Oryctolagus cuniculus: one gene and its partner. The protein of the gene in region 2 binds, or shares a complex with, the protein of the main gene of each other region. Links are inferred from orthologs where the notes say so. Each region holds a gene or a part of one and is shown on either strand. Other genes may lie near its edges.

Region 1 (4,406 bases), on a different chromosome or scaffold from region 2:
ATAAAATAAAATAAAAAAAATCTGAAAAAAACAAAAAACAAAAAACAAATAAATCTTTAAAAAAGTAAAAAGGAAAGTCTGGAAACAATTCCTAGGTTTTAGACAACTTTTATTGTATTATAATTTGCATTATAATTTTCCTTTTCGTGGTTAGTTAGTAATGCCATGTGCCTAGTTTACAATTAAACTTTGTGGCAGGCATGCTTGTATAGGAAGCGACATCGGAGTTCAGTGCCGCCCACGCCTCACGGCACCCACAAGCCAGCACCCTCTTACTGGGTGGGTGCTCCTGGACACAGTTCAGGGCTTTTTTTTTTTTTTAACCAAAACAAACTATATTATTTATTTTCAGTTTCTCTTTTAAAAATATTTATTTTTATTTGATTTGAAAGGCAAAGAGACACAGAGGGAGAGACCCTCCGTCAGCTGGTTCCCTCCCTAAATGCCTACAACAGCCAGGGCCGGGCCTGCAGAGCCCAGGAGCCCACAGTGAGCTTGGGTCTCCCGCGTACCTGCGCCGCCCCCGGCCGCCTCCCTGGAGCGCAGCCAGGACTCCGCAGGTCCTCTGACGGGGCGCAGTGTCCCCGGGGCCGAGCCGGGACTCCGCAGGTCCTCTGACGGGGTGCAGTGTCCCCGGGGCCGAGCCGGGACTCCGCAGGTCCTCTGACGGGCCGCAGTGTCCCCGGGGTCGGCTTCACCACGGCGCCACATCCACCCCTATTCCACTTAATTTGAGAAGGGGGACAGATCTTCCCCTGGCTGGCTCATTCCCCAAAAGCCTGCAACAGCTGGCGCTGGGCCAGGCTGAAGCCAGGAATTCAATCCAGGTCTCCCAGGTGGGTGGCAGGGGCCCCGTACTGAGCCATCCCGGGTGCACCCCGGCGGAAGCTGGATGAGGAACCAAGCAGCTGGGACTCCACCCAGGCACCCCGATCTAGGCTGCGGGTGTCCCAGAGTGACTTCACCACCGCACCGAGCGCCTGTTCCCGGTGTAGGTTTGTGGACCACGTAATCTTGGTGACAGTCACTCGCTTTTGTGGTCTGGGCTTCAGGGAAGCCATAAACAACATGTAAATGAAGGCACCGTGCCGTGTGCACAGACACCTTCGGGACTCCGAAATCTGAGTTTCATGTAATTTTCGTGTGTTACAAAATACCGTAGCTTGGATTTTTGTCGGCCACTGGAAAGTGGGGAAACCACCCTCAGCTCACGGGGCTGCACACAAACAGGAGTTAACCTATGGCCACGGTAGGCCCCGCCCCGCCCTACGACCAGCCCTGTCCGGCCGCCTACCCAAACCTTCGCTAGCCCTGCCGCTGGACTTGACTGAGACGCACTCCAGAGGCCTTGGCGTGGCCTTCCGGGCCCTCGTGTTCGCGCCTGCCCTCTGCGGGGCCCTGGGAGCACCCAGGCGTGTAACACGCCTGCCGGGTAACGCGACAAGCACAGAGGCTTGTGACCCGGCCCTGCCTCCACGCCCACAGCTGCTAGCACTTTCCCTACTAACTGGGAACCCCGAGGCGATCACAGCCGTGGGCTCGCGCGGAACCACCCTGCACCCCACAGCCTGGCCCAGTGGCTTCCCCGCTGGCCTGTCCCCTCCTAGGCTGAGTGTGCTGGGCGGTGGGCAGGGGCCCAGGCACCTGTGTGGACCTGGTATGGGCGACCAGTTGCTTTGGGCCGGCTGTCTGCTGTCTGCCCTCCTCCCGCAGCCCTCCAGCCAGGCTCCTTATCACCATCACCGCCTGCAGGCCATTCTCGGCCCCCCCCCGCCCCCCCATCTGGCTGCTTCTGGGGCCTTCACACCCTGCCGGCCTCCTCTGGGCCGGGAGACGCCCTTCTCCTCCCTTCTCGGCTGCTCTCTCCCTGCTTGGCCGGGGCCTCCAGTGCTGGGGCTCCACCTGGGCCCAACCCTGGTCCCTGTGCTCCCTCCCCGCCCTGCGTGCCCACCTCTGTCAAGGCAGCTTCACGCTCTCGGGCCCAGTGCCTGGGCGCCGCCGTCCTAGGGGCCTCCCTCTCCCTCGCAGCAAGGCCCCGTGGGCTCTCCCTCCAGGGTACATCATTTTGTGTTCCTGCCCCTTTGCGGGGGGGGGGGGGGGGCGGTGACGCTGCTGATGGGGAGCGACTGCCAGGTGGGGGTGGAGACCAGGTGGGGGCTGTGAGCACCAGCTGGACGCCGTGCGGAGAGGAACAGAGGGCGGCCGAGCTCGGGCGGGCGAGTGGTGAGTGACCGGCCTGGCTGCTGTTCCCGGATCTCCGTGGGCCGCTCCAGGAGCCTCCTGAGCCGTGCTCCTGGCCTCCCAGGGCTCTCGTCTAGCCCCCCACCCCGGCCTGCTGCCTGCCACGCCACTCACCTGGGCTAGGCGAGCCTCCCCTTGGGTGTGAGCAGAGGCCAGGGAAAACACACCCGGGAGCTAGAAGGCCCATCCCAGGCCAGCAGAGCAGCCCGGGGCAGAGCCTCCTGGAGTGTGACCTTAGGCGAGTCACTTCCCCTTTCTGGGTCACTGTCCACCTCTCACTGCACTGTCCCCGCCCCACCATAACAATGACTTTTTTCCTGGCCATGTACGGTATACCGGATTGATAACCCAGTGTTTCCTCCATACACCTGCTCGGCAGCCCAGCACTCCTGCCATGGTGGTAACCGACCGGTCAGTGTTACAGAAGGGGAGACTGGCTCAGAGGGGGCCGGGCCTTGCCCAAAGCCCTCAGTGAGTCGCGGTCAGCATGTGGGCAGCCACTGCTGGGCTGGGGCGGCAGGGGGGCGGTTAAGGGGCACTGGCGCTCCGCAGTGGGACGGAACCTACCTCCATGGTGGCTGCTGCGGCTCGGCTGCCGCTGCTGGTGACTGGCGTCCCCCCGGGGGCCTGAGGGCCGGTCCCCTGTGGGGCTGGGGCCCAGGCCCCTCTCGGCAGAGCTGGAGTCTTCCTGCTCACTGGGCTCAAACTCTGGGATCTGGAACATGCTCTGGGCTGTGGGACAAGACAGCAGGGCGTCAGGACACAGGAGGGGCAGACGGTCGCTGTCGGGGACGGCGGCAGGTGCGCCTGGCTCCCCCTTCCACCCCGGCACCCCGAGGCCCCCTGGGTCTCCCCAGGCCCTTCTCTCTCTAGGCCTGGCCCGGCAGGGGCACCCGAATCTCGGCATAGAGTTCTGGTGCTGTAGGGGCAGCCCGGGGCCCTTACCCAGGCCCCAGCCCGACCCAAGCCGCCGGGGGGCGACGCCGCACAGGCCTCACCCCGCGCCCGGCCGAGGCCCCCGACCCGGCTCCGCCGCCTCCCTCCAGGACCGAGGGCGCCCAGCCTTCGTTGCCTGGGCAACGGGAACTGTCAGCGGCCCGGCCCAATCAGCTCTCGAAGTGGAAGCCGGGTTGGCCCGGAGGCGGGGCCGCCTCCACCCGCGACCTGCCCGGGCCGCCGCCTTCCTCCTCGGTCCCCCCGGGCCGCCCGAGGCTCCGCTCCTGACTTACTCACGCCCTGGGCGTGTGTGGGAGCAGGTGAGGGAGCCCCTGGGGTCCCCGCGTGGGACCCGGAGGCCCGCTTCCGCCGACGAGCCCCTCGGGGCCCCCCACTGCGGAGTCGGGGCGACGGCGGCGAGGCGCCTCTCCCCGGGAGCCAAGTACAAGACACTCGTAAACAGTGGTGATTACTGTAGGTGAAAGGACTTGGCAAAGCCGCCAGCGAAGCTCCGCGGTCGGATGCAGTTGTCGTTGCTATTGTTACTGTTCCGCCCGCACTGGGCGACCCGGGCGGGAAGTCCCGCTCCCTCCTCCTCCTCCTCCTCCTCCCCTGCGTGGAGGCCTCGGGCGGCCCGCCGGAGGGCCTGCTCCTCGCGCCGTCTCGGGATCACTCGAGATAAGGCAGGGCACCTCCTCCCCGGCAGGATGAGGGCCCGGGCGCGGGAGAAGGGACAGGGGCCCCGGTGAGGGCGAACCGTAGGCCTCGAGGGGCTCCGCGTCTGGCAGGCGGCGCGCGGGCGGCCGGCCAGGTGAGCGGGGGCCGCGCGGGCCAGGGCGAGGGGCGCGCCAGCGGCCCTGCGGGGCAGCTTCGGGGTCCCGCGGGTGGGGGGCCGGGGGCGGGGCCCGGAGGCCATCTTGGCTACGGGCGGAAGTTTCCCTCGGAGGCTGAGTGAGGGGGCGCCGTTGCCGCCTCCGGCCGGGCGGCGCAACACTGATTTGGGGATGGGGGCGAGAGGTGTAGGGGCTCGCGGCCCTCCACAGACAAGCCAGGTCTGGTGGCGCAGGGCGCAACCCGGCCGGGCGCCCCCCAGGTACGGCGCGGCCCCCGCCTCTCCTCCGCCCGCCGCTTCTTGTAACCCGGGGCGCCCGCCGGCGGCGCACCTCGCGCCGATTCTCCACTGAGTCTACGCCGGGCGCGGCGCGGGGCCGCAGAGCTGGGGCCGGCCC
Region 2 (4,382 bases):
CCCAGGATCTGTCACTTGTCACTAGGAGCCTCATGTGAAACTGGGAATAAAACCATCTATTTTGGTCACTATGGGAAGACAGGAAACAGCATGCCAATTCCACAAGGGAAGGGCCTATGGCTGGTTATGGCCAACACCTAGCGCCCTGCCCACCTCCGTAAACGCTCAGCAAACTCATTGCTTAAGAACCTAACACAATGCCTAATACATAGGAGGGTCTCCGTAAAGGCTAATTTCCTTCCCTTTCCTGTGACGATGCCAAATTTAGACAACATCCGTCGGCAGGCAGAGTGGCCCGTAACTCCTACGCTCAGGGATCCCTCAGCTGAGGCCTCCAGGCTGAGCTGCTACTGCAGTAGCCAGTCACTGCTGCTCAGAGCAGGGTGGCACCTTTCCCGGCTCGCTCGGAGGGCTCTGACTCAAATGTTCTTCACCCACTGGTCTCAGGGGAAGAACACACTCCCAGGAATGGTTCTGACACAACTCGCTCTTCTACACACGTCCTCTGTGTTCACTAAGAGGAAGCGACGTGTGTGTGTGAGTGTGAGTGTGACTGTGTGTGTGTGTGTGGTATGTTGTCCAACGGGCTCTGACATTTTTCAACGAGGCGATGGGAGGTGGAATTTCCATCCAGTGGCGGGCGAATGGACGGGCCCAGGCCTGCTGGGTTTTAGACCTTTTTCACCCGCAACGCTGGGTTGCTGGCAATTCTCTGATTGGGACGGCCCTCTGCAGACTGGCTGGCAGACCAGGCACCTCTCCCAACCTGCCTTTTGTTTATAGCTGGCCACAACTCACCTGGTATTAGGACCACTGGCCAGAGACAGTGGTCAAGGCAAAGTGGGCAACTGGCCCACGTCCCTCCACAGAGATGCCTCCGAGGGTGTGTCTGTAGTACTGGAATCCTGGAATCAGCTGAACAAATATTTGCCCCCAAAGAGAATCAAAGCAGGAGGGACCAGGAGAGGTCATCACACAAAACCCAACAGGAACTGTTTAATCATTTATCCCCCAGGGAGTTCATTTACAGAATGGCTTTTCAAGTCTATCAGCCTTAGCTCCAGGGAGCCTCCGGCCTCTACCACCCCCACCCCCACCCCCACCCCCACCCCCACCCCGTCGCCTACTGACTTGACCCCCTAGCCTTTTTCAAGAGCCTGCTGAGGAGATGAGCTGAAGTTGCAAAGAAACGGGAAACGAGCCAGGGGGTGGGGTTCCAGGAGAAACTCAGGAGGTTTGGCTCCACGGTAAAACCGAGTGCCGGCCACGCCCCGGCCCAGCCCACGACAATCACATTCCTGGCATTCCTGAGTCCAGGTGCGCGGCCCTTCCACCTCTGCTCCCTCAATGGATGACTTATTCCCCACAGCCTGTGGATTTTCTGCATTTTCTGAGGGAACAGAATGCCTGTGTTCCGCACCTCCCCTGGGCAGGGAGACCAGCAAGGAAACAGGACCAACCCCGCCTGCAGTGACCACTGGTGCAAAAGGTCCCTCCACCACCTCCTCGTGACTCAGGGACGGAGAGAGACACCTCCCTGTCTGGACTGGGAGCTCCCTGGCGTCCCTCACTCTGCTCACGCCACCTCCAAGGCTTCCAGGACTCTGCGAGACCAGGCGAGCTGGCCACGTTTCCCAGTGCAGGAAACTGAGGCTCAAGAAAGTAAAGAGCCTGTCCAAGGTCACACAGCTGGCCAAGAGAGAGGGCTGGCGCTCCCACTCACGTCCAAAGTCTGACACCAAATCTCAATGGCCCACAGAGCCCCACAGACTGACTTCTTGCCTTGCCAGCCGGCCAGTCAGAGGCAGAGCAGCTGGAGCTCCTCACCCCACCCCAGGCAGCGAGTGAGGTGCAAAGTCCTGGGGCTTAAAGCGTGACACAGCAAGAGCTCCACAAACAGGCCAACCGTGCAGAAAGTTGCAAGCTGTGTGCAGCACCAACTCAGGAGGTGCAGCACCAACACGAGTGGCACAGCCCACGCTGACCTAGAATCGGACAATTCCGAACCCACCAAGCCACTGGGGGGAACTCCTGCTTGGCCACATAAGAAAACTCTGAAATAAAGGGAAGGAAGCCCAGGTCAGGACGGCCAGTCCTGGAGAAGAAAGGACGCAGCGACTTGTGGGTCCCCGGCACGCCACCACCTGCTCCAGACATTCTGCTTGTCACCCTTTCAAAGCATGGAGAGCCACTGCTCCAGAGTGAGGGGGGCACTGGACCAACCCCCCACTCACAGATCAACACCTCAGCTATTCTGTGCTGAGAAACTGGAAAATAAGCATGGAAGATCAGGGTCATGAGGGTGCCCAGATGGAAAGAACCAGGTCTGGTGCTGAAATGGGGCCAGTGCCTCCAACAGTCATCTAACTAGCAGAAGCTGCAGGGAAAGGCTGCTGGGGGTCCTCTGACAGAGGCCAAAGCACAGGGACAAATGAGGGGTGTGGTTCTTACCCAGCCGCCGTTCTCCTGGATCCAGGGCTCCAGGTGATCATTCAGGTAAGTGGCCATCCACGCCGCGATCCGACTCACCAATACCTCCATCTCCTTGTCCACGCTTTCCACGCACAGTGCCCCGCCGAAGGAGAAAAAGGCCACAATGCGGCCCCAGTTCACCCCATCCCGGAAGAGTTCGTTCACTACTTGTTCAAAGCTCTGATATGCTGTCCCTGGGGTGATGTGGAGCTGGGATGTCAGGTCGCTGAATGCCCGCCGGTACCGCAGTTCAAACTCGTCGCCTGCCTCCCTCAGAGCCTGCTTCACTGCTGTCATGGGGATCACCTCCCGGGCATCCAAACTGCTGCTGTGGCCAGTGGCTCCGTTCACCGCGGGGCTGTCCGCCGGGTGCCAGGCTGGGTTGCCATTGATGGCACTGGGGGTCTCCATCTCTGGTCCAGTCCCTTCCGGGGCCTCAGTCCTGTTCTCTTCCACATCGCTAAACTGACTCCAGCTGTATCCTTTCTGCGAAAGCTTGTAGGAGAGAAAGTCAACCACCAGCTCCCGGTTGCTCTGAGACATTTTTATAATAGGGATGGGCTCAACCAGTCCATTGTCCAGAACACCTGCTCAGGGATTCTCTTCTGTGATCCAAAGCCAAAATAAGGCTCTGAAGGGAGAAAAAGAGCTTTAGGGAAAGAAAAAAAATTAGTATAAATGCCATTTCCCCCCGCAACATCCCCTTCCCCTTCCAGGTACCAAAACTCGTTTCTTTGTGGCTCCTATGAAGGTCTGGGTCTAGGTTCCACGAGACTTCAATGAAGTCAAATTGTAAGCACCACTGGGCTCTGAATCATCCCACTGGCCTCTTTTATCCCAGCCACCCCTTTTTCTCCGAAACGCTGTCCTCGGAAAGTCACCCCATGGGCAGTCCCCCCACCACCACCCGCCGCCCCCGCACCACCTACATTCAATTCCGTCTAAGCCGGCGACAGCAGGCAGGTGCACCCCCGTAAGATCTTTTGTATCATAGGTCGGGAGAGGAGGTGGCGGCAGGCCGGGATGCCGGTAACTCAGCCGGCTTCGCGGCGGCTGGCGAAACAAACAGCTCCGGCCGGAGGGATCATGCGACCCGGCAGGCTGGGCGCCCAGAAGGCGACACAGGAATTGCGACGCTCAGGAACCAGCCCGCTTGCTGGCTTGCTCCTCCATTGCCGGGATCCAGGGCCGCCGCTCCGCTCCGCTCCGCGCCCGCGGCCTCTAGCCACCCGGGAGCCCAGCCCCCTCGCTCTCGCACGCCCCTTGGCTCTCCGCCTCCTACTGGGAGCCAGGAGAACTCTCCCGGAGGTGGCTGCTGTAGGCTTAAGGTTTTTCTTTCTTTCTTTTTTTTTTTTTCCTCCTTCACTCCGGTCTATTTAAGTACCAGCCCTGGGGGAGGTTCCCGAAACCCTGAAGGGACTTCTCAATGGGGCTCAGGGTTTCGATGAGGGACGCGGGGAGGAGAAAGCTGCCTCCGATCTGCCATCTGACTCCGGGAAGGCCACCCCCGGGCCTTTCCGGGAAGCTGAAGGCCGGAGACCCCCAATAAACGCCGCTGATTTTCTTTGAATTCCCCAAAGGCCCTGAACGTGGCGGTGGGGGATTGCCAGGTCCTCCATTCCCCGCCCGGATACAATGGCCGCCGGCGCCCTGCACAAAGACGGGGTGAGGGGGAGGCGCTGGGCCTCTTCTCGGGTCGGGAAGAGGGGTCGAGGCCTGCTTGAGGCCCCCCACGGCTGAGACCACGTTTTCCTAGGGACAGGCCCAAGGCGGCTTCTGGGAGCCCCAAGAGGGCTCGGAGGCCGGGGGCTGAACCTCTCCGGAGCCCGGGGTGGGTGGGCTGCGGCCTTGAGGCTTCTCCCGCTCGCTAGGCCGGGTACCCGCCGAGCCACCGCCCCGTTGCTAGGCAA

What was found.
Region 1: the proteins of BCL2L1 (region 2) and BAD are in contact, whole or in part, in a crystal structure (PDB 2BZW), measured with the Mus musculus proteins. The link is inferred for Oryctolagus cuniculus from reciprocal best matches to the Homo sapiens genes BCL2L1 and BAD. Residues at the interface, in NP_001276645.1 of Mus musculus: Ala93, Glu96, Phe97, Arg100, Tyr101, Arg103, Ala104, Phe105, Leu108, Gln111, Leu112, Gln121, Ser122, Gln125, Val126, Glu129, Leu130, Arg132, Asp133, Asn136, Trp137, Gly138, Arg139, Val141, Ala142, Phe146, Asp193, Leu194, Tyr195, Gly196; in NP_031548.1 of Mus musculus: Ala137, Leu141, Ala143, Ala144, Gln145, Tyr147, Gly148, Arg149, Leu151, Arg152, Met154, Ser155, Asp156, Glu157, Phe158, Glu159, Phe162, Lys163.

The regions. Positions count from the first base shown.
Region 1 is NC_091432.1:7,036,804-7,041,209, reverse strand, and holds the start of BAD (bcl2-associated agonist of cell death), read right to left. Parts: upstream 2,966-4,406; coding exon 2,809-2,965; intron 2,653-2,808; exon of another isoform or gene 2,505-2,652; intron 1-2,504. UniProt on the Homo sapiens protein: Promotes cell death. Successfully competes for the binding to Bcl-X(L), Bcl-2 and Bcl-W, thereby affecting the level of heterodimerization of these proteins with BAX. Can reverse the death repressor activity of Bcl-X(L), but not that of Bcl-2.
Region 2 is NC_091442.1:25,993,031-25,997,412, reverse strand, and holds the start of BCL2L1 (bcl-2-like protein 1), read right to left. Parts: upstream 3,016-4,382; coding exon 2,452-3,015; intron 1-2,451. UniProt on the Homo sapiens protein: Potent inhibitor of cell death. Inhibits activation of caspases. Appears to regulate cell death by blocking the voltage-dependent anion channel (VDAC) by binding to it and preventing the release of the caspase activator, CYC1, from the mitochondrial membrane.